Linked DNA regions of Macaca mulatta. The protein of the gene in region 3 binds, or shares a complex with, the protein of the main gene of each other region. Links are inferred from orthologs where the notes say so. Each region holds a gene or a part of one and is shown on either strand. Other genes may lie near its edges. The genes, in order: TRPV3, PTEN and SNTG1.

Evidence for each region.
Region 1: the proteins of SNTG1 (region 3) and TRPV3 are in contact, whole or in part, in a crystal structure (PDB 7QQN), measured with the Homo sapiens proteins. The link is inferred for Macaca mulatta from reciprocal best matches to the Homo sapiens genes SNTG1 and TRPV3. Residues at the interface, in NP_001274742.1 of Homo sapiens: Arg62, Gly66, Gly67, Phe68, Gly69, Leu70, Ser71, Ile72, Lys73, Gly74, His78, Ser85, Lys86, His118, Glu119, Val122, Arg126; in NP_659505.1 of Homo sapiens: Pro786, Glu787, Thr788, Ser789, Val790.
Region 2: the proteins of SNTG1 (region 3) and PTEN are in contact, whole or in part, in a crystal structure (PDB 7PC7), measured with the Homo sapiens proteins. The link is inferred for Macaca mulatta from reciprocal best matches to the Homo sapiens genes SNTG1 and PTEN. Residues at the interface, in NP_001274742.1 of Homo sapiens: Gly67, Phe68, Gly69, Leu70, Ser71, Ile72, Lys73, Gly74, Glu77, His78, Ser85, Lys86, Ile87, Ser88, His118, Val122, Leu125, Arg126; in NP_000305.3 of Homo sapiens: Asp395, Gln396, His397, Thr398, Gln399, Ile400, Thr401, Lys402, Val403.

Annotation. Positions count from the first base shown.
Region 1 is NC_133421.1:5,011,610-5,018,984, reverse strand, and holds part of TRPV3 (transient receptor potential cation channel subfamily V member 3), read left to right. Parts: intron 1-1,291; exon of another isoform or gene 1,292-2,377; coding exon 2,378-2,658; exon of another isoform or gene 2,659-3,497; intron 3,498-4,565; exon of another isoform or gene 4,566-4,916; intron 4,917-5,070; coding exon 5,071-5,247; intron 5,248-6,271; coding exon 6,272-6,430; intron 6,431-7,135; coding exon 7,136-7,237; intron 7,238-7,375. UniProt on the Homo sapiens protein: Non-selective calcium permeant cation channel. It is activated by innocuous (warm) temperatures and shows an increased response at noxious temperatures greater than 39 degrees Celsius. Activation exhibits an outward rectification.
Region 2 is NC_133414.1:100,005,309-100,012,683, forward strand, and holds part of PTEN (phosphatidylinositol 3,4,5-trisphosphate 3-phosphatase and dual-specificity protein phosphatase PTEN), read left to right. Parts: intron 1-1,421; coding exon 1,422-1,465; intron 1,466-3,376; coding exon 3,377-3,615; intron 3,616-7,375. UniProt on the Homo sapiens protein: Dual-specificity protein phosphatase, dephosphorylating tyrosine-, serine- and threonine-phosphorylated proteins.
Region 3 is NC_133413.1:60,456,670-60,464,738, reverse strand, and holds the start of SNTG1 (gamma-1-syntrophin), read right to left. Parts: upstream 5,100-8,069; 5' UTR 4,282-5,099; intron 1-4,281. UniProt on the Homo sapiens protein: Adapter protein that binds to and probably organizes the subcellular localization of a variety of proteins. May link various receptors to the actin cytoskeleton and the dystrophin glycoprotein complex.

The DNA.
Region 1 (7,375 bases), on a different chromosome or scaffold from region 3:
GGAGGGAGGCGGGAGAGGGAGGAAGGGAGAGGGGGAGAAGGAGGGAGGAGAGGAAGGAAGGAGGGAGGAGGGAGGCGGGAGAGGGAGGAAGGGAGAGGGGGAGAAGGAGGGAGGAGAGGGAGGAAGGAGGGAGGAGGGAGAGAAAGGAAGGAAGGAGGGAGGAAGGGAGGGGCCACCTCGCTCTGACCTCTACCCTCACTGCCCCTGCCTTAAGAGGCTCTGGTGCCCCAGAAGACAGAGCTGGGAGGGGAGGAGGCTGGGCATGTCCATCTGAGCAGGACACCAGGGTGGACCAGAGAAGGAGGGGCTGGGAGGAGGTGTTTGGGGAGGAGTCCATGTTCCGGGGTGTCATCTGGTGGTCTTAGAAGCATCGTCCTGGGCAGCCCTCTGAGGGAACAGAGACCTGGGAGGGAGTCTGAGGAGGGAGCCCCATTTTACAGGTGAGGAGAAGGCTCTGTGAAGGGAAAGGACTTGCCCCAGGGTAGCAGGGCATTGACTTAGATGTCCTGGCCTCCAGCTCTGACCTCTGTGCCTGGGCCCAGTGCTTCTCAGGACTGCAGAGAGGTAGTCAAGAGTGAGAGGGCAGAGTTCCCCTGCCTGACAAGTCACAGAGTCCAGAAGCGACTGGGGTTAGGATGCTCTAGGAAAAAAAAAAAATGATATGCATAATTTGGATAGAGTGTAAGTCACCCGTTTTAGAGGACAGTTCTGTTCATTTTCACAATGCGTCCTCGAGTTGGTTAACCACCACTGCAATCAGGACAGGGAACAAATGGCTCCCTCACACTCAAAAATTTCTCTGTGCAACTTTGTTGCAGAGGAGACCCCTCCTCCCACCCAGTCTTGCCTGACTGATGATCACCCATCTGTTTTCTCTTCTGGGTGGTTTTTTTTTTTTTTTGAGATGGAGTCTCACTCTGTTGCCCAGGCTGCTGGAGCACAGTGGCACCATCTTGGCTCACTGCAACCTCTGCCTCCTGGGTTCAAGCGATTCTCATGCCTCAGCCTCCTGAGCAGCTGGGATTACCTTCTGGGTGGTTTTTTTGATCAGCAGGACTAGCTAGTCTGCGCTCTGGGCAGCCCTGGATGTCCAGGTGTGGGTGTCCTGGAAAACAGGGTCTTGTCCAGTTCATAGTGTGCCCTCATTGTCCTGCATAGGACCTGGTTGGAGCTGGTGTTGAGAAGCATTTGTTGGGTGGGGTGAGGAGAGGGGAGGCAGCTGAAGACCTGGTGTCCAGGACTGGTCGTGTCCCAGGCTTGCTGTGTGACCTCATGTGAGTCACTTGCCTTATTTGTTCTTAACAAGCATTTATTGAGCACTTACTATCTACATCAGGTACTGTTCTAGGTATTTGAAATATATCACTGAACAAAACAGAAATCCTTGCCCTCATGGAGCTTACATTCTAGACAGGGAGAGACCATCGGTAACAAGCATTATAAATAAGCATTTTATATAGTATGATGCAAAATGTTAAGTGCTCTTAAAAAATACAAAGTGGACCGGGTGCCGTGACTCACACCTGTAATCCCAGCACTTTGGGAGGCCGAGGCAGGTAGATCACGAGGTCAGGAGTTCAAGACTATCCTGGCCAACGTGGGGAAGCCCCGTCTCTACTAAAAATACAAAAAGTAGCCGGGCGTGGTGGTGCACGCCTGTAGTCCCAGCTACTCGGGAGGCTGAGGCAGGAGAATTGCTTGAACCCAGGAGGTGGAGGTTGCAGTGAGGCGAGATCGCACCACTGCACTCCAGCCTGGTGACATAGTAGGACTCTGTCTCAAAAAAAAAAAAAAAAAAAAAAAAAAAAAAAAAAAGTAAAGCAGAGGACAAGGAATGAGGAGTTCTGTCTGGGGCAAGAGGAGGGTGGATTTTAATTTTAAACAGTGTTTAGGGTGGCTCATTGAAAGGTGATGTTTGAGCAAGGACGTGAAGGAGGTGAGGGAGTGAGTGACTCGACTATCTACAGGCAGAGGGGATAGACGAGCGAAGGACCCGGGGCCTCCTGTTGGAGGAGGTGGAAGAAGGCCATTGTGGCCGGAGGGAGTGAGTGATGGGGAGAGGAGGTCAGAGGATGCAGGGCTTAGTGGGCTGCCGTTGGAACCTGAGCTTTCATTCTGGGAGAGGCACTAGCAGATTGATCTGGCTGCTGTGCTGAGCAGAGTATTAAAAGGCCAGGGTGGAGACAGGGAGGCCAGTTAGGAGGGTACTGCCGTGATCTAGCTTCACTCTTCCCCATAGAAGCGGAAGATGGGGAGAGGGCCAGGGAACCTGAGTTGCCAGTCCTGCTGAGATAGGATATGGGCCCCAGTCCTGGGTCTTGGGGGACGCTGCTTCCGGCCCATGAGAGAACCAAGCTTCAATGTGCTCACCCGCCAGGTGAGACGCCCCTGGCCCTGGCAGCCTGCACCAACCAGCCCGAGATTGTGCAGCTGCTGATGGACCACGAGCAGACGGACATCACCTCGCAGGACTCGCGGGGCAACAACATCCTCCACGCCCTGGTGACCGTGGCCGAGGACTTCAAGACGCAGAACGACTTTGTGAAGCGCATGTATGACATGATTCTACTGCGGAGTGGCAACTGGGAGCTGGAGACCACTCGCAACAACGATGGCCTCACGCCGCTGCAGCTGGCCGCCAAGATGGGCAAGGCCGAGGTGGGGCCATGGGGCATGGGGAAGCGGGAGGTCGGGAGGTCAGGAGGCACAGCTGCCACTCTCTCAGCGCCGGGGGCCCTATCGGGGATTCAGAGACCACAGCCTCAGCCTTGAGAAGGTCCCAGACTTAGGTCCAGAAATGCAGTGGCGTGGCGGCCCGAGGTGGGTTTGTTCTGAGGGGCCACGCGGAGCTGGTGAGATGCAGCCCACTCTCTAGACTTCAGTCCCTAATACGCCGCGTTTCCATCTCTTGTCCTTAGGCTGGGGGAGTCTGAGGCTGAGGTGACACAGAAGCCCCAGCAGGGCTGAGTGGGTGGCCCTTGGGGCCTTCTGCCTCTCACGGGGACGGGAGTTCCAGAATGGCTGCTCTGGGCCCAGAGCTAATATGCTGCCATCTCCCAGTCATGGAGAGACTCCAGCCTGTTTGTCCGGCTGGAACTCTGTGCCGTGTCCCCAGCCGAGAGTGTGGCTGCTTTGGGCCCTTCTTGCCTTGTGTGATGTGGCTGAGATAACCGAGGCTTAGCTGGGAGCCTTGGTGAAGACTTGAGCAGGGCTGGGCTCGGATCTCTTTCAGGGGCCGGTGTCATGGCTTGGTCTGAGACGTTCTTAGGGGACGGATTCTGGGGTCTAAGTGTGTTCCTCAGCCTCACTGTCTCACTCCTCTGCGAGGAGGCTGTGGCTCCTGGGACGCCACCAGAGGACACTGGGGGGTGGTGGCTGTTAAGTAATTGCAGCTGTGCCAGCCTCAGGGTACCCGCCTCCCTGGTTAGCTGCCCCGAGGGCCTTGGTCCTGTCCCAAGTAGTCAGGCCTGGGGCCCACAAGGGGCCTTTTGATTCGCCTGTGGGGGAGGAGGAGATGGAGAACTGCTTCAACAGAGGAGGAATTGTGTGTCTGCCTCCCCGCAGCTCCTGCCTACCCTCAGGGTCACAGCTTGCTGGGGCTTTGAAGAGTCAGCTTGTGGTTGCAGAAGGAGCCTTCTCCAAGGCCATCTTCCCTGTGTGCCACTGTGGCGGGTGCTGTCCCTGCCACCCCAGCCCGGGGAGGAGGCTTCCTGCATGGAGCATGGCCCCAGGACCCCCTTGTTTTCTAGGGGACAGTGTGCCCGCTGTGGCTGGCCTGGGGGAGGCACCTGTCCCCCGCATCCCTCCTCTGTTCCGTGTCCTCCAAAAAACTTTCCTGGATGCTACCCAGGTTGGCCACCGTCCTGGGGCTTTTATAGGCTGGGGTGCGGGACGGAGAGACCTGGCCTTATCCCTAGAAGCTCTCTGCCTGGGCCCTCATGACAGATGGGATGGGAACCCACGGGGCCTTGTGAGGCCAGATCTCTGACACTGTCCTTCCCAACAGTCCCTTCCTCTTGGGTCTTGAGTTGGTGCCCTAGGAAGCCCATGTCTCATCCGGGGGTAACCCAGGGCTCAGCTTTTTGGAAGTAGGAGCCAGAGACAGCGGCTCTGCATCCAGCCTGCACTTTGGAACTAGCCAGGAAGCTTCTCCTGGGTCCCACCCTGGAGATTTTGATTTCATTAGTTGATGCTGTGGGAATTTTTTTTTTTTTTTGAGACTAGACTCTCACTTCATCGCCCAGGCTGGAGTGCAGTGGCACAGTCTTGGCTCACGGCAACCTCCGCCTCCCAGGTTCAAGCGACTCTCCTGCCTCAGCCTCCTGAGTAGCTGGGATTACAGGCATGCACCCCCACGCCCGGCTGATTTTTGTATTTTTAGTAGAGATGGGGTTTCACCACGTTGGCCAGGCTGGTCTCAATTCCTGACCTCGAATGACCCGCCCCTCCTTGGCTTCCCAAAGTGCTGGGATTACAGGCGTGAGCCACTGCACCTGGCCCATGCTGTGGGAATTTCTAAGTTTCCCAGCGACCCCAACATGCAACAGAGTTTGAGGATCACTGACCTACCGAAGTCCCGCGGGCCTCCCTGTGGGGCGTGGCGTTTCTCGTCACCAGCTGTCTGGCCAGAGCAGTGAGCCACAGCTGGAAGGGTCTTGGCTTACGGTGAGCTGGGGACACTGAGAACACTTCTGGCTTCTTCTCAAGTCCAGAGCAAACGGAAACTGTTTCTAAAAAATCATCAGTGCCTGGAGTTTTCACTGAACTGGGGCCCCAGCTGGCGTGAGGCGTTTCAAGCCGATTGTGCAGCTTGCTGCAGCCTGTGAAGAACCTTCACACCTTTTGTCCCCGGTGTTCACATCCCCCAGTGAGATGGGCAGAACAGCAAGCTGTGTGCACATTCCGCAGATAAAGACGGGGCCCAGGGGCCGTCGTGCCAGGCGCAGAGGCAGGTCTCCACCCATCCTGGGCGGGAGTATCTCCTGGGCCCAGCCCACCTCTGGCTGGTCCAGCCCTGTTGGCCTCAAGCCCCTGTTCTGCAGCTGACAGTTGTTCCTCGTCTTGTCCCAGATCCTGAAGTACATCCTCAGTCGTGAGATCAAGGAGAAGCGGCTCCGGAGCCTGTCCAGGAAGTTCACTGACTGGGCATACGGACCCGTGTCGTCCTCCCTCTACGACCTCACCAACGTGGACACCACCACGGACAACTCCGTGCTGGAAATCACCGTCTACAACACCAACATCGACGTGGGTCTTCTGAGCAGGCAGGGAAGGGCAGGGAACAGAGGGCTGGACCTCAGGCCAGGGGCTCCGAGGACGCTGGGAAGACCCAGTGCTGCCAGCTCCACCGCCCCGTGTCTGCATCCCCCACTCTGCTGCCTCAGTGGGCAGATTCAGGCACAGAAAGGGCGAGGCCTGGGACAGATGCTGGGCCCGCCTCTTCCTGGTTGACCTTGGACTGTAGACCTGAGTGGTGGTGGTGGGGGCAGGTGGGGGTCTTCCGGTCCCAGTATCCGGGGCTGTTTGGGTGTGGGTGTGGGTGACAGGGTGGTTGGGGTTGATCCTTTCCATATTGTTTCTCTCCCACCCCCCTGTTGGTGTATATGGTCAGGCTTAGAATTCTTTCTTCCCCAAAACCTGGTCCCAAATGAGGGTCAGAGGGTGCGCTGAGAAGCAATCAGGGAGGCCTTCCTGGAGGAGGCTGGAGGGGAGCGTTTGGTGCCACCGAAGGTGAAGAGAGGAGCAGCTACGAGAGGCGTTCAGCTCTTGGGGGAAGTGAGGCAGCAGGCTGGGTCTTCCTCCTCCATACTTTACCGAGAGTCATGCTTCCCAGAGTCTCCTTGCCTTGGGTCTTCCCAGACCCTCACGGCAGCCTGGTTGGTAGGACAGGGATTGTTAGGAGTTTTATAGGTGAGGAGTCTGAGGCCCAGAGAGAGTCAGGGGCTGTCCTAAGGTCACACAGCAAAGGAGGGGCAAACTGGGGCTGGAACCCCTGTCACTACCTCCTGCCCGCTTCTATCCTCCACTTTCTGCTGTGCATCGAGTCCTCAAGCCCAGGCTCCTGCGGCCTCTGAGTACTGCCCGAGTACCGTGGGAGGAGCCTCAGGAGCCGGAAATCGCCCTCCCAGCATTTCCAGCCAAACCAGTCCACTGGGCATAATGATGGACCCCGGCAGAAGGGGCACTGCCTCAGAGCTCCCACAGGCCTTTAGCAAACGGTCGCTCCTTCTGTCCCTCATCTCCATGGTGACTGGTGGCATTCTACCCCTAGAACCGGCATGAGATGCTGACCCTGGAGCCACTGCACACGCTGCTGCGGATGAAGTGGAAGAAATTTGCCAAGTACATGTTCTTTCTGTCCTTCTGCTTTTATTTCTTCTACAACATCACCCTGACCCTCGTCTCGTACTACCGCCCCCGGGAGGAGGAGGTACGTGGGCCCCGTGGAGGGGAGAAATGGGGCGGTCAGAGCTGGCGGGGCTTGGAGCTGCCCCACGTGCAGGTGGGAAAACTGAGGCCCAGAGAGGCCAGGAGATTTGGGTGGGGTCCCCAGTTGTCCTTCACATTTTCTAGGGAACTGAGTAAGTCTTCGGTGCTTAGTTGGGCTAAACCCTAGGTGCTGAGTTCCAGGCAGACCCATGTTGGGGGGGAAAGTTGGAGAATTCGGAGACTCAGGCCCTGCCCAGGGTCTCTGTCAAAATACAGAACTGACTGGGTGTCTCTGCTGTGAGGGCTGCAGGAAATGGGAGGACGATAAGCTCTCCCTGCCTGCCGGGCCTCGGCTTCCCATGCGTCACGTGGGGCACGGAGCCTCGGCTTTATTGAATGGTGCGGTGAGGCCGTGTTGAGTGTCTGGATATGAATGGGTTCTGGAAAGGCTATTGCAATGGAGTGTGAGGGTTGTTAGCACCGATTGGCTGATACTTGTCGTTGTAGAGTTATGGGTTTCCATCAAGGGTGGGGAGGGTGGGGTCAGGGAGCTGCTCCTCCTTTTCTCGCTCTGTACAGAGATCGGGTTTCGTGCTGGCCTCCGGCCTGGCTTGAGTGTTTTATCTGTGTGTTGGTCCCTGTAGAGTTGGTGCCAGCCCGGTCCACCTTACTCCCTGTTCCGACCACCCCTCTGCTATCCCCCCAGGCCCTCCCGCACCCCTTGGCCCTGACGCACAAGATGGGGTGGCTGCAGCTCCTCGGGAGGATGTTCGTACTCATCTGGGCCACGTGCATCTCCGTGAAAGAGGTGAGTGGGTCACTCGGCCCCTCCAGACCACCCCGCGAGGCAGGCAGGTGATAGCAGGCCTGGCCTCCATCCCTGTCTGCTCTGCCGTTACTGCTGGGGGGCTTCAGGGAGGCGTTTCCTTCCCAAGCCTTAGCTTTC
Region 2 (7,375 bases), on a different chromosome or scaffold from region 3:
ATACTTTTACATAAACACCCCAGTGGGATGTGGGTCAATACCTGAAATGAAATGTTTCACTCTTCACTCTAAGTGTATTAAAGATTATATACAGTCTTATTACTTCAGATCAGGATTTGCTGTAGTTGAGTTTGCCATAAAACTTAAGAGAAAGTGTTAGATGTTTTGAACTTTTGGGATATTGAAATTGCAGGTTAAGGATCTATGGACCTTTATTTGTTTTAAAATGCTAAGATTTTATTTTAAATAATTTTTTAAAAAATTGTTTTGCATAGTAGTTGGAGTTACCAGGCTACTGCTAGCCACACTGATACATAAGATCTCTTTCTGAGCCTTGTATTGTTTGTAAACATGGGCTGTTAATTATTAGAAAGCCAGTACATACTAACGAATATATCACTGCTATTAAGACAAATATTAGCATACTCTAGTAATGACAAGTCAGCATTTTACTATTCTGTATTGCTTTTGCTTATTCTTTCGTTACTCTCATACTGTAATTAAAACTTGCAACCTGAGAGACTGTTGTAAAAGGTGACCATTGGCTTTTCAACAGGGAGAAAGGTCTGTTTTAAAAAAAATTGGTGGCCGGGCGTTGGCTCAAGCCTGTAATCCCAGCACTTTGGGAGGCCAAGACGGGCGGATCACGAGGTCAGGAGATCGAGACCATCCTGGCTAACATGGTGAAACCCCGTCTCTACTAAAAAATACAAAAAAACTAGCCGGGTGCGGTGGCGGGCACCTGTAGTCCCAGCTACTCGGGAGGCTGAGGCAGGAGAATGGCGTAAACCCGGGAGGCGGAGCTTGCAGTGACCTGAGATCTGGCCACTGCACTCCAGCCTGGGCGACAGAGCAAGACTCCGTCTCAAAAAAAAAAAAAAAGAAAAAGAAAAAAAAAATTGGTAAGCATTGTGTCCAAGTAGATTAACATCATTCAGTTTTTCTTTACTGTCCTTATGCTTTTATTATTTTTAACATATATCTTTTTGAAGAATAGTTTGAGAATTATGTATGCTTAAATATGAGATACAGATACTATTGAAACTAGCCAGTTGTTTATAGGTACTTGTAAAAAAAAAAAAAAATTCCAATAGCATGCAAATTTTTCATAGAGGAAATTTGAAAGCATGGAAGCACCTGAATTTGCAGTACTCTATAGTAGTGACATCACAAGTTTTGTAAGCAAATTTATTAGCTCTAATTGCATACACTTAATCTTTTAAGCTTTGGTTTTATTATTATAATATGGGGGTGATAATAGTATCTACGTAATAGAATTCTTATTACATGAAATAATTAATGTTAAACAGCATAATATGTGTCACATTATAAAGATTCAGGCAATGTTTGTTAATATTAGTACTTTTTTTCTTCCTAAATGCAAAAGATAACTATATATCACTTTTAAACTTTTCTTTTAGTTGTGCTGAAAGACATTATGACACCGCCAAATTTAATTGCAGAGGTAGGTATGAATGTACTGTACTATGCTGTATAACTTAAACCCGATAGACTATATCTTAACTGTCATAATAATGAGTCATCTAGATTATTGAGTGAGATACGTATTTATCTTAAGAAGTATCTTAAAAATTTTCAAAAAATTTAATTTTGCTGTTTTTTAGGAAAAAAGTATTGCATAAAGCTATTAATATTGTCAGGAAGACTGAAGTGCAGAGTAGACTAAGAATTAGGAAAATTCCTAGACTAAAAATAGTATAAGGAGAGGGTTTACCTACTGTTTAAGGCAGTAGGTCTAATAGTAAGCAACTATAGGGAGAAAGCAGAACTACTTAACTCTTCTGTGTTGAGGAATGACATAAAAGGTAGGAAAGGATATAACAAATGTTGATAAGAGAAACCTGATGGATGAGAGGAGGGAATTGCTTTAAATGAGTTCTACTTCAGACATAAGTTAATTCTCAGAGCCCACAAAAACTTTCACTTTTATTTGTGAAATACAGCTCAGTTCTATGACCTAACACTTTAAACCATGAGAGAACTGAAGAGTTGAGAAGCTAGGCAGATGCCGCTGTGATAGTCAAAAAGAGAAAGTGGGTGCCATGAGCTACTATTGATGTATTTGCCATTGATCCCTCCTGAAAATCTAGAATGGACTTTCAGACAGATGGTTTGAAAATTCTAAATCACTCATGATTGAGATTTGGTATAGATTCACTAAGAACGTTTTGTTTTTGTTTTTGGTGGATTTAGGTTGTTGCTTACTAGGCAAAGCAGGCTTTAGTTGAGGTTTATGTTGCTTTAAATAGACATTTAACAGGTTTTCCTGGAGGTTTTTGTGTACCACTGGGAAAATGGAGTTAGGCAGATGACTAAGTGAAAGCTGTCCTTCTGGACTCCCTATAATGATAGTCATTGTCTACCAGAAGAGCTGTCCTGTCACACCAAAGGATAATTGATTGTATCCTGTATCATATTATGAGTGACTTGATTGGAGATATAAGACATACATCTCACATATTTAGGTAACACAGGATAGTACGTTGAGTATCAGTCAGAGTTTTTAAGGATCTTAATAGAGTGGAACTAAGGTAGAAACTATTAAGAACAATTAATAGTGATATATCTATAGTCCTGTTTCTAAACAAGGTTTTTTAAAAACCTCAACTCTGACTATAGTGAACAGAGAAGTCTTGGACTCTTATAATTCATGTGAGAAGACCTGAAACTTTGATAACAATTATATACATTTTGTAAGTAATTTCTTTGGTGTATGCCTTCACATATCTCTGTATGTGACCTATGCTACCAGTCCATTGAGCGTAAATTCCCAGAATGTATTCTCCTGCAGAAAATGGAGGTAAATAGTACTTGGCTTCCCTAATGATTTACATGTGTATACAACACTAATATTTGCAAGACCACCTTTAAATAACACACTTAGCATTTTTATTTTATGAAATGTAATATGCAATTCTTTCTATAGTTTATTAGTAATCTATTCTGTCTTTGGAATATGTTTTGTGATGATGAAATAAATACTATAAATAGTATTCCTTTTGCATTGAGAGTCCTGATGAAATGTCCATGTGACATTTCATTTTGGGTTTAGCTGTACCTCTAATATGTGACCTATGCTGTCAGTCCGTATAGTGTAAATTCCTAGAATATATCCTTCTGAATAAAATGGGGGAAAATAATACTTGCCTTCCTTAATGATTATATTTGAGACTTATCAAGAGACTATTTTCTATTTAAAAATTAGAAAGTTAAGCAATACATTATTTTTCTCTGGAATCTAGTGTTTCTTTTAAATACTTGTTAAGTTTGTATGCAACATTTCTAAAGTTAACCTACTTGTAATTAAAAATTCAGGAGTTTTTTTTCTTATTCTGAGGTTGTCTTTTTACCACAGTTGCACAATATCCTTTTGAAGACCATAACCCACCACAGCTAGAACTGATCAAACCCTTTTGTGAAGATCTTGACCAATGGCTAAGTGAAGATGACAATCATGTTGCAGCAATTCACTGTAAAGCTGGAAAGGGACGAACTGGTGTAATGATTTGTGCATATTTATTACATCGGGGCAAATTTTTAAAGGCACAAGAGGCCCTAGATTTCTATGGGGAAGTAAGGACCAGAGACAAAAAGGTAAGTTATTTTTTGATGTTTTTCCTTTCCTCTTCCTAGATCTGAGAATTTATTGGAAAACAGATACTGGGTGTTTTTTTTTTTTTTCCTTCAGTTTTATTGAGGTGTAATTGACAAGTAAAAATTATATATAAATACAATGTATAATATGATCTTTTGATGTATGTATATATACATTGTGTAATGATCACTACAGTCAAGCTACTTAACATATTCATCACCTCACATAATTATTCTTCTCCCTTCAAGGTGAAAGCATTTAACATCTACAAGCTTCAATTTTCAGTTATACAATGTTATTATTAACTATAGTCACTGTGCTGTCCAGTAGATCTTCAGATCTTGTTCATCTTGTGTCCCTCCCCGCCCCACCATCAGTCCCTGGAAAACAGGTTTTAAAAATAGTTGCTAATCCTTATTTCTTCTAAATTTTTAAATCAGTTGCTGCCTCAATTTCTATATGAGAAATGACTGATTTCATTTTTCTGTTCATGCTACCATTTTCATATCATACTAGCACATGTTACCCATTAACTGTATTGCAGATTTGGTCTCATAAAATTCTTTTAAAATAACATTTTTAAAAAGCTATCAAAAATAAGCTTATATTTCTGAAGCTTATTTGAGCATAGAATGGCTTTGGATAAAATACCATTACCTAGTAAAGTGTGAACTTTTATAATACATAAAAATTATTCTTTTATAAGAATATTCATAAATGTAGTTAGATTAATAGAAGATTCTTGATTCTTTGATCGGAAAACTAAGGACTATATTGAAAAATCAGTGATAAATTTAATACTTATAGTACATCTGAAAGCAAAAAGAAAACTCTTGGGATAACTTTTACAGTGATTTAATTTTGCTGTTGATGTATTTCTTTGGGTGGTAAGTATGGCAAAACATGTTAAAATTTAATACAAAGAGATTTTGTTCATTTTTCCATCTCTAAAGGGACAAAGCCTAAGCCCCTCCAGACAGATAGAAAAACTCATTTAGAGAGTTCCCCTTCATGTTAAGCTAATTTCTTCTTAATTCAACTGTAAAACAGAAATAGAATGATCATATTAATCATTTAAAGCTGTGTAGTTGCATTGATTCCTTGTTCCTTTACCCCTCTCTCATGTCTTGTTTCCTTACCTTTGTGACTTTTTTTGCATTATGTATAAGGATGCCAAAGTACTATTTATTGTTGATAGTTTACAAAATTGAATCTTACATTAGTGCATAATTTTGGTGAATGTTGAAGTTTATGGTAGATTGCCTTACATTTCTGCATATTGTTTGCACCTTGGAATGATAGCACTGGCATAAATTATAGAGCTGAGGATCTAAAGATTTTGACTTTGATTTATCCCATTATTATCTGCAGGGAAACAGTTGCTTTTACTGATTAAAAATATAGGCCAGCCGCAGCGGCTCACGCCTGTAATCCCAGCACTTTGGGAGGCCAAGGCGGGCGAATCACAAGGTCAAGAGATCAAGACCATCCTGGCCAACATGGTGAAACCTCGTCTCTACTAAAAATACAAAACTTAGCTGGGTGTGGTGGCGCGCACCTGTAGTCCCAGCTACTCAGGATGCTGTGGCAGGAGAATCGCTTGAATCCAAGAGGCAGAGGTTGCAGTTAGCTGAGACCATGCCACTGCACTCCAGCCTGGTGACAGAGCGAGACTCCATCTCAAAAAAAAAATTAAAATGCAGTAGCAAAAGCGATGGTAGAAATTTAAAACCGAGTTGATGAGCAGCAGATAACTTGGTAGTGGGAAAAAAGTCAGGTAAAACAATTTTTGTAATAAAATAGAAAGATTTTGTAATGTGGAGGCACAGAACACTAGATTTAAGCCAGGGGGTCTTAAGTTGTGTTACATACCTTTTAAAAGTCTGATGGAAGGTATAAATGTTCTCCCACCAAAAAATGTACATAGTGTACATAAAATTTTGCACATAGTTTTTATTACATTGAAATATATTATTTTAAACAGAATGTAAAAGAACCTTCATGAAAACTATGTCACTTTTTTTAATGCAAAAACCAGTGGCCACTACCTGAGAGCAGTGAATAAATCTAAGTGGTACAAATTAACCAAAATTAAGCTTTAGTTCTGTTCAATACGAAATTTTAATGAAAAAACTGCTATTTAACTTTTAAAATAACAAGTTGAAACTATGCTCTTTGACTTTGCAACTTTTATATCCAATCTTTGATATCCAATCAGTGTTGACTTTGGTAAAAAGTGCTGAAAATGCTATTTTACAAAAGAAAAAAGAGTAAATGGAATCTGAAGATTCTCTTGCCTGATGAAAGTAGACTTGTCAAGAAATAAGACTTCTCCAAGACTTGAGATAAATTCATGTTGCATCATTTTCTTTGCCTTCAAGTTACTGAGATCATTTTTGGCAAGATCTGTAACATTAATAGTGTGTTAGGAAGGAAAAGATTATGACTCCATATTTTACTTTCAAGGTTGAAGAGTTAAACTCTTTAAAAAGAGTGTATTTTACCCTGTAAACAACAGTATCAGGCTGTAGAATTTGTCTTCTGAAAGCAGTGAACTTACATATAGCAGAGAACTTCATAGAACTCCCATTTCTTGACAAAACCTCTCAAGAAGCTCTTGATTGAAAGTCTTGGCTTTCATGAATCTGGCAACTTTCACAATAGTAGATTTTTCATGACAAATCCTCTTACACAGGCGATTATTCAAGGGTTGGCACTTGAAACAGTAGAATACTTTCACAACAAGAGATAAGATTTCTTTCAGAATTGATGACAGTCTTGCACCCTAGTGCGTACTGATGAAGAAAGCAGTGGGTGACCATGACATGGAGAGCTGCTGTCTTTACCAGTGCCACAATATCAGATGTGTTCTCTGGCAGTAAGGTGTACTATCTGCCTACAGTATACTGAGGTTTCTTCAGGAGAAGTTTTGTGGTAAAGAAACTTCACTATTTTGAAAGTGTTAATGTTTTCTGAAGTTTCCAAAAAGGATTCCAAAATGGGAATGTTTCCTTGATTGTGTCACCTTGCTTGCATTTGATGAAAACTAGTAGCCGGCTATACTGAGAAATCATATCTGAAGAAAAGTGGTACTTCCAATCTTTTTGTGACCTACTTTATTATTATTTTTTTAATGTCAGGTTTTTTTTGGAATGGATAAGAGTATTTGATAGAAGTATTTGCAACAGTCTTACTCTTCTTCATGCTACAAGTATGTTTGACTCTTTCTAAGATACTTGCCGTCACCGTTCAACTGTGTGACATTTTTATTTGTTTAGCATTATAGTCAATAGCCTAGTAGATGATTTAATCAGGAGTTTTAATTGGAACAAATAGTTTTTGTAATGGTCTAGACTTTCCAACTAACTGTGCTCTCACATGTGGTCTCTTTTTCTCCCTCTTTTCTCTCTCTTACACACTCCCAGCCACACACATATGCATACATACCCTGTCTGATGTAGCTGCTTCTTCAGAATATTTGGCTGTGCTCTGCTGATGGTGAGAACTTGCCATTTAAGAAGGACTTGGGACAGTCCATCTCATCATGTTCAGGGATAAAAGTAAAACCCAAGGATACTTAAACTTTATTGTATTTTATTTTCTGTTTCCAGTCCAAATTAAATCCAAGAGAAGGCTCCATAATCAAAAAGTAAGGACATATTTTAAATTTGCCAGCAGGAAGATATTCTAGTCATTACAGTCTTATAATACTATCAATTCTGTTTCTCTTCAGAGGTGAGGAGAGACTATTTGATGAAA
Region 3 (8,069 bases):
ATTGAAGAACAAATTCAGGAGACCCAAAATGATTTTCTGACTCTTTCAGTGAGTACAATGTGCTGAAGAAACTTCACAGTGACAATTTAAGGATAATTCAAAGGTAAATTATCTGGCCTCAAGACATTATTTTAATGACCTCTTACTCTTGATTCTTCTTCATTTTATTTTTTCGACCGTTTTTGGGTTTTTTTTGTGTGTGTGTTTGACAAAAAACAAAAAATCTGAATTACATTACTGAGTAAGTGATGATATAATTTTTTTTCTCTGGTGCAATCATATAATTTAACCACAGAACAATGCTGGAAATAACTGTAGCACCAAATATTGACTTACATTTCTTAAGCATACTATCAGTATATTTTTGTTGATAGTCTAGAAATCTATACAGACCAAATGTTGATAAATTACATTGAAAAAATCATAATGACTTTTAAAACCCCAATTAAGAAAAGCAAATAAGCAAGGAAATATTGCTTATTTGGTTTTCTAAAGAGATTTCCTAAAGAGGCCTATGAATAGAATCTAGGCTTTGGACTAAATCAAGACAGCATCTTAACAGCATTTCCAGGCTAGCCCCTTAGATCAGCCCTCATGTTGTCCACATTTCACTCCATGCTCACAAGCCAGCAGTCAAATCACAATGTTTTCTGGATGTTTTAGGATAGGTAGTTTTGAAGTCTACTTATCCTATGAGTTTTCTTATCAATATCACTAATGGCAAACATTAACACTCCTTTATAAACCAGAAAATTATGGCACAAAGTGATAGATTCTTTGAGGGTCAAAATGAAAGTTGTTGAAATAAACTCAGGTCAACTAGGTTTGTCCAATTGATAAAGAACGTGGTGTCAATTCTGAGTAATAAATATTTTTTAAACTAAGTCCACCTTCATTGAATATCGCTTATATTTATACCATTAAGAGATATAAAGGAAATGACTGCTGAATTATCAGTAAAGTATTATATTCCCCGAGGTGAGAGTTGTTAAATATAAAGGATGTGCCTGGTATATAGTAATTGGTGGGATTTTTTGATGAATGAATGAATGCTATTGGAAATTATTGATAGTAACCCACAGATACAACACTTGTTTCCAAAACACTCTCAAAATCACTGAATTTGGACTTTCCAGTATCCCACAAAGTAGGCATCATTCACTCATCTCATGAGTGTTCACATATCAGCTGTATGTAAACTACTGTGCCTTCATTGAAAGGTAAAGCATCCCCAAATTTAAGGAAGAAAAATTAAGCTGCAGTGAATTGAGTGACTTGTAGAAGATCTTACAGCCAGCAGTTAAAAAATTCTGATCTTTTGACTGTCGGGTAGTACTTGTTTCCCTACAACATGATGTGTAACATGTTTCTTGCTGCAGGATGTTGTCTCTTCCAACACATGCTATGTGCTCACTCTGATAAGCTAAATGGGAAGAAAACACCAAATAAGATGTCTCTCTCCGTTTGAGTTCTATTCTGTAACACACTGTACAGATTTCTGGGAAGGTGAGATGACTACGGAAATAATTTCTAGCTTACAACATGCTTTTTTCTTTCCTAGTGACTTTGGTCTTGCTTGACGGAACTAGGTGAGTAAGCAGGTTAGCCGCCTGGAATTTATAAATCTTTAAGTGGTCAAAAACAGCCAATTACTAAATATTAGCAATAGTCATTTCTTATTTTTATGTTTTTTGATAAATGTTTGAACTTGGTTGAAACCCAAGTAAATAACTCCAAAGGCTTGGAGTTATCTAATTCTCATTAGTTATCTAATGAGAATTAGATATCTAACGGGTAATTCTAATTAGATATCTAATTATCATTAGTTATCTAATGCCCACATTAGATAACATTAGAATCCAATATGATTTCATGGTATTGATAATTACATTAGAATATACAGGTAATATATAAATATTACTATATAGTCCATGCAAAAATTAATCAAGAAAGGGTTTTATAATATTTTGGAAGAAGGCAATTGAATGGACTCCAGGGCTCATTTTAATTATCCTCTGGTCCTATATACACTTTACATTTTCTAGATTATGTAATCCTATCTCACTTTTCCCTTTTGAGTCTCAAATGTAAGCAACAGCCAACAACACTTAGTCTTATCCAATAAAGCTTTTTTTTTTTTTTTTAATGAAGAAGAGATACTGTGTTTGGTACTCCCAAGACCTCATGCATCGTTTTTCTTCAGCAAAACAAAATAACTATCAAATCAAATAGATGCCCTTAGTGGAGTACAGATATCCCTTAATAAAATGCTGATTGATCTTTAAAGACAAGTGATTCTGTGCAATAATGAAGGTTGGTTTCCACTACCTCCTTTTTGTTGGTTTGTTCGACTATCTGCTTTGCAATTAGAGATTAGCATTAGGTAGGCATTAAGTTGCTTTCCCAAACTCTATCTCAGTGTAAGGACATTTCCCTACAGATAAGGATTGACAAGGGCTTCCAAGCACTTTCATGAGTTTGGAGTGAATTAGAGTTAGTATTTCTGTAACTAAATCTCCTAAGGGATTAGGCAAAGGTAACTTTCACTTTCAGAGATTTCAGTTACACATAGAGAAAGTCTGCCCCCTCTGCCCCTGAGGAGGGAACTGCGGCCATATACCCAGAGGAGGAGTGCTTCTGGAAACACATTCTCTGCTTACATTTTATGCCCTATTGACTAGGGGAGTCCCTCGGTGTTAATTAATTGACAACCAAAATAATTGTCTAACAACATGCTGTAACTCTCTTAAAATATGATTAATTCTTCCATGTGATAATTTCACTTCTATACCTCTCCTATTGGAGAAAAAAAGGATTGTGTTAAGAGCACATTGTAGGTTTTCTGGGAAGAAATCCAAATCAATGATACATGTTTCTGCTCCTCAAATAATCATTCTTGACCTATATAGGGCAACAGAGCCCCCAAGGAGCTCAGTGACATAGATGCCTCTGCTCCTTTTCTGCTAAGCAAGCAGGTTCATGGTAAGTGGTGACAGTTAAGAATGATTTTTCCTCAGAGAGTAATTGCTACACTCAGCCAACATAAAACAAGAGGACATCACCCCACCAATGAATGCCACTGTAACGGCCTCCAATGATTTTTGTGTTAAAATTGAGAAGGAAGGTATGTACAGATGTGAAGTAGAGCCATTTTATTATCAGTTACACACAACCAATGAGATTAAAAGTAAAACCTAAAGATCTCCTGTAATTTTTCAAAGGGGTAAACTCTTTTCACAGAGTTGATTATGCATATGTCATCACATGTATTTACATGACTATAAAATTCCATCCTTGCAAGTGGAAACTCTTCACTGAACTGAATGTACTCATTGGAATTGATCAAGTTCTTAATGAAATGTCAGGCACGGGTTATAAATTAGTGTAACTGCTTTTGCCCAGTGAACCCTTTTTATTAAAGCAGAATGCTTATCAAGGTCACTGTGAAAGATTGTAATTTTAAAGCTCCAGGGGAAGACTAGAAATAAGAATCAACAGAAAACAGATTTAATGAGCATTTTAAAGTTTACGGCTTTTCGGAAACCTATTGGCCCCTATCACTTTCTGAATTTCAGTGACAAATGTATTTTACAGAACTAGTAAGTTAGAATGATTTTGAAATCCAGCTCTCCTAAAGAGGCACACTAAAGCTTCTCATTTTCTGCCTTCTGGCAGATCAAGTTTGAGAAAGCAGTCTTGAGCTTTAAAAGGCCAGAAAGAGGGTGCTAAGTAAAAATGTGAGTGTCTCCTTACATAAGATTCTACAGGTGTAGGCATACTTGGGGGTTGGCATGGAGTGAGAAATCTGGTGTGTATGTATACATGTGTTTGTTCCCATGCCTAGTTTGGTATATTGTAACAATACAAAATGTGTTAGAGGGCATGGTTAAACCCTCTCTATTTCAACTTTTTGAGCCTTGCATACTATGTAACACAGACAGGATCACTTTGGGCATACATAAGACAACAAAATTATCTTGGGAAACGTCAGATTGTATTAGCTTTGGAAAAAAATAAACAAGATATGCACAGATCCAAAAAGATATTAAACAAGCAATAAAAAATGGCCAGCTAAAAGTTTGCTGTATTTATGTAAGGCAACATGTATGTTATTTTGATTCTTCTTGTCACACAATGATCCAGAAACAATTATTTTAAAACAAAATTTCTTGTCCCCCCCTTAACCCCAGGAAAAATTACATTGCTTATGTTCTTTCTGTTAAACCATAAGACAAGTCATTAGAATTTTAAAAAAACAAAAATAATAGTGCTATCACTTACCTGCCAAGCAATGAAATTAGATGTCTTTTCAGTTTCTCTAACGTAGAATTTTGAGTAGATCTCCAACCTCTTTTCACAAAGCTATTTCCAAAACAGTTGCAATCCACTCAGGACCATTCTGTTTATTTCAAGAAGTGTGGGCCTTTTAACATTTCGACCCCTACTGCATGGCCCATGATTTCTCAGAGCTTCTAAGAACTTCGACTTTACTCTTCTGCCAGAATTCCTCCCAGGCCCCTATAGAAAAATGATTCTTGAAGTTGCTGCCGAGAGTTTAATCGGTGGAGCAAGAGTACTCCTCAGAGTCCTGTCCTTAGGTACAGCAGGTGTAGAGGGAGGGGTACTTTTCATCCATTAAGGAAGGGGACCGGGAGGCGAGGGAGTAATAGGAGACACCTCCTTTTAGCTGCGAGGAGCAAGGAGCCCAGCTGCCCCTGGCGACGACAGTGGCGGCAAGGAGAGCGGCCTCGGCAGCGTAGTTGCGTTCCTGTGGCTGCAGCCCGGTCCGGAGACGCTGTCCATCCCCTCTGGTGCTGAACTAAGGGGACGAGAGCCCCCAAGCCCAGCTCCCGGTCGCACTTTCCTCCACCAGCGAATCCAAGCAGCAGCTTCCTTCTCTTCCAGCCTAGCCTTCTCCCCTCCGGTGATTTTTTTTTTTTTTTTTTTTTTTTTGGTAGGGGCTAATTGTTTCTACAAAATAACAGTCTCATTCTTATTTGGTGACAACGTTTCCGGAAAAACAGGAATCCGTAGGAAATAACATCTGAGCCTCCCCTGACTTTTCAGTGGCCCTGAACGAGTTTCCTAATGCCAGAAATGAAAGAAAACGCACGCACAGGCGCGCGCACACACACGCACGAGAGAGGCAGAGAGAGACAGAGGGAGAGAGAGAGAAATACAGATTTGTACCGTGGAAAATCCAGAGCTTCTTTGGAAAGCTCATGGACCTCTAATTACATAAGATGAAAAAGGCTATTTTGGAAGACTTCGCAATCTTGATTACCAATTAAGGTGACCACATTCAAATTTTGAGATATCCAATTTGAAATTCCTAAATTAAACCCAGTGAAGATTCTTAGACCCTCCACGGGGAAAAGACAGGATATTGCTAAAATTTTAAAAGACAGAGAATGAAAGAATGAAAAAGACAAGAAAAGGCATCTCCACTCGGCTACCTTTTATAACGCTGCTGAATTGGATCGGGATCGTTGCAGAGCCTCTCAGAGGATCCAGCGAACGCAGCTCCTGTGAGTGTCAGCGCTGGGCTCAGCGAGCAGGGAGCTTGGAGGCCCAGGGCAGTGCAAGCGAGTCTCCCACAGCCTAAGCTCCTGCAGCGGGGCAGAAAGCGGCTTATTTCACAAAGGACTGGATAAAGAAGGCACAAAGTCAGTCAGAGGGCTTGACCATCTCTGCCTTTGTAAAGCCGGAGCAAAGCCCAATTTACCTTTTTTGTTTGTTTGTTTTTGTTTTTGTTTTTTTGTTTTTTGTTTGCTTGGCTTTTCAGCCCATTTTCCCTTCTGGTCTCCCACGCTGCCCCCTCGCCTCCCTACTCCGGAATCCGCGCTCTCCTGGGCCTTGAAGGCTCTTCACTCCCGCTCCAAACAGCCCCCACTTGTGTCTGTTCCACTGCTCTTGGCAACTGGCTGACAACGAGCATAAAGAAGTGTATGGGTTCGTGATCCTGAGTGCTGTCACCCAGGGCTCCGCCACCCACACTCGGCAACGGGTGCAGACGCGAGTGAACTGAGACGGGAAGTTGAAATACATAACGTTGAAACTGTTGGAAAACTGGTCAAAACCAGGGCCATGCGGACCTTTGAAACTATGTAGAGTAAAGGGGGAAGATGGAAAGAGCTGGACTGTAACATCTCCCGCCCTTGCAGGCTCTTGACTTGTGCAGTGCAGATTTCTTTACCAGGAGGTTGTTGATAGACGTGAGAGGAAATTCGAGAAAGGCTGGCGAGGGGCGCTGGTGTGTGTGGTGGGGAAGGGGGTTGGGGAGGGGCGGGGCGCAACACTAATTTCTCCCGGACTGTGGGAAGGGGCCGGACGCCTGCTCCTGGCCTCCCTTCCCCGGCGACTTCTCAGGTTCTTCTTCCTCCTGTTCTTACACTAGAGGGAAGTCCTAGACGTTGTGCTTTCCTCCCACGCTTGCTTCCATTAAGGATTAGAGCGCGTTCCCGCTGGTCTGGAACCATCCATTCCAGGTAGGGGATCTTTCCTCTCGGGGACATTGCGCTCTCCAAGCACCGGTCTGAGGCGCGCGCTGGGGGCGCGCGAGGAGGCGGCACAGCTAATGGAGTTCCAGTGGGCTCCCTGGAGGAGAAACGTTATTGAGCCGGGAATCAGTCGGGACGGAGAACCAAATAGGCCGCGTATTCACTCATAGGAAAAGGCCAGGCTTTGGCTGGACTTTGAGCCATTTTACTGCTGCAGCAATGGCTTTATTTCCCTGGGGTGGCCACCAGCCGCCACCGCGGCTCCGGCTGAAAGAGGCCGCGCTGTGCTCCGCGCATTGCAGGCCGCGGTCGCTGTGTGGAGCTGCACACGCAGGAAACGGTCGCCGTGGAACGAAGCCCTTGGTCAACTTTCTCTAACAGTCTTTTTTAACAGAGGCTCTCTAAAACCGTGTTTGGGGAAGCCGTCAGATCTCACGGAGACACACAAACCTAAAAAAAAGAGTATCTGCTGCTTGAGGTTAATTTTTAAGGGCTCTTTCACTTTTCAGTCCATGTGAAAACAAATTGCTTAAGGTTATGGTAAATGAAGTTTCCTTTTTCCTTAGACAAATGTGATCAAACACGTGCTTATTTTTTTCTGCAGAAACAATACCTGTCCTATGTAGAAATAAGTTTCAGAAAGTGCCCCCTTTTTGTTAGATAAGGAAAACAAACCCCCGTGTGAAGGTTATGCTAATCAGGGCCCTTCCCTCCTTGTCAGCAAAGAGGGTTTTCTCTGCTGTGTTCAATTCTGTGCTTACTTAAGTGGATTTAATTGATTGTTAATTATTTTATCGGGATATATAGAAACATGAATAATCACAGAAAATCAACACACCAAATAAGAGCATTTAAATGAGGCATAGAGTACAAAGATGTTGCTAATTAAAAACACATGCACTTGATTATTCAGACCTAGAAGAGCAGATTCCCTTCTTCCTGATCACCGATTGAGTTTTATGCAGTCTCTCTCAATCTTTCTCTCCCTCTCCCTGTCCTGCCAGTAAAAGAAAACAGAAACAGTTGATTAATTTGAACTGACAGTCCCAGTATGATTATGATAGTTTGATGTCTTTTCTTCAAGAAGCAAAATCCACTTTATATTTTTTCTCATCAAGTTGTGTAACCAGTTATGGAAATCAATATGATGAAAATTAAATACGGCCTAACATCTGATGCGACAAATGAATATAAATGAAGTACAAGATAACAAAACCAAGGGACAAATAAGCTGAGGTGAATTAAAGAATTATGTTAAGAAATTTCACCCTGGGAGCAGATTTTTTAAAGTCTATTTTAAATGATTTTAAAAAATTTCTTAATTTAAGTTGCCATGATTTTAAAAATGTAAATATAGTAAAATGTGAATATAAATAATCAAAACAATACATGAAGCATTATATGCACAAGAAAATGTAGTAACCTAGCATCATTACTGTGAATCCTAAACTGGCTCATTCAATCCCTCTCTATAAAACTAGGATGCAATTCCCCTCTAGTCCACTCTACATAGTACACAAATCTTAGAAAACATAATAGTTTGTGGAACATTTTGGAAACAATTGGAAG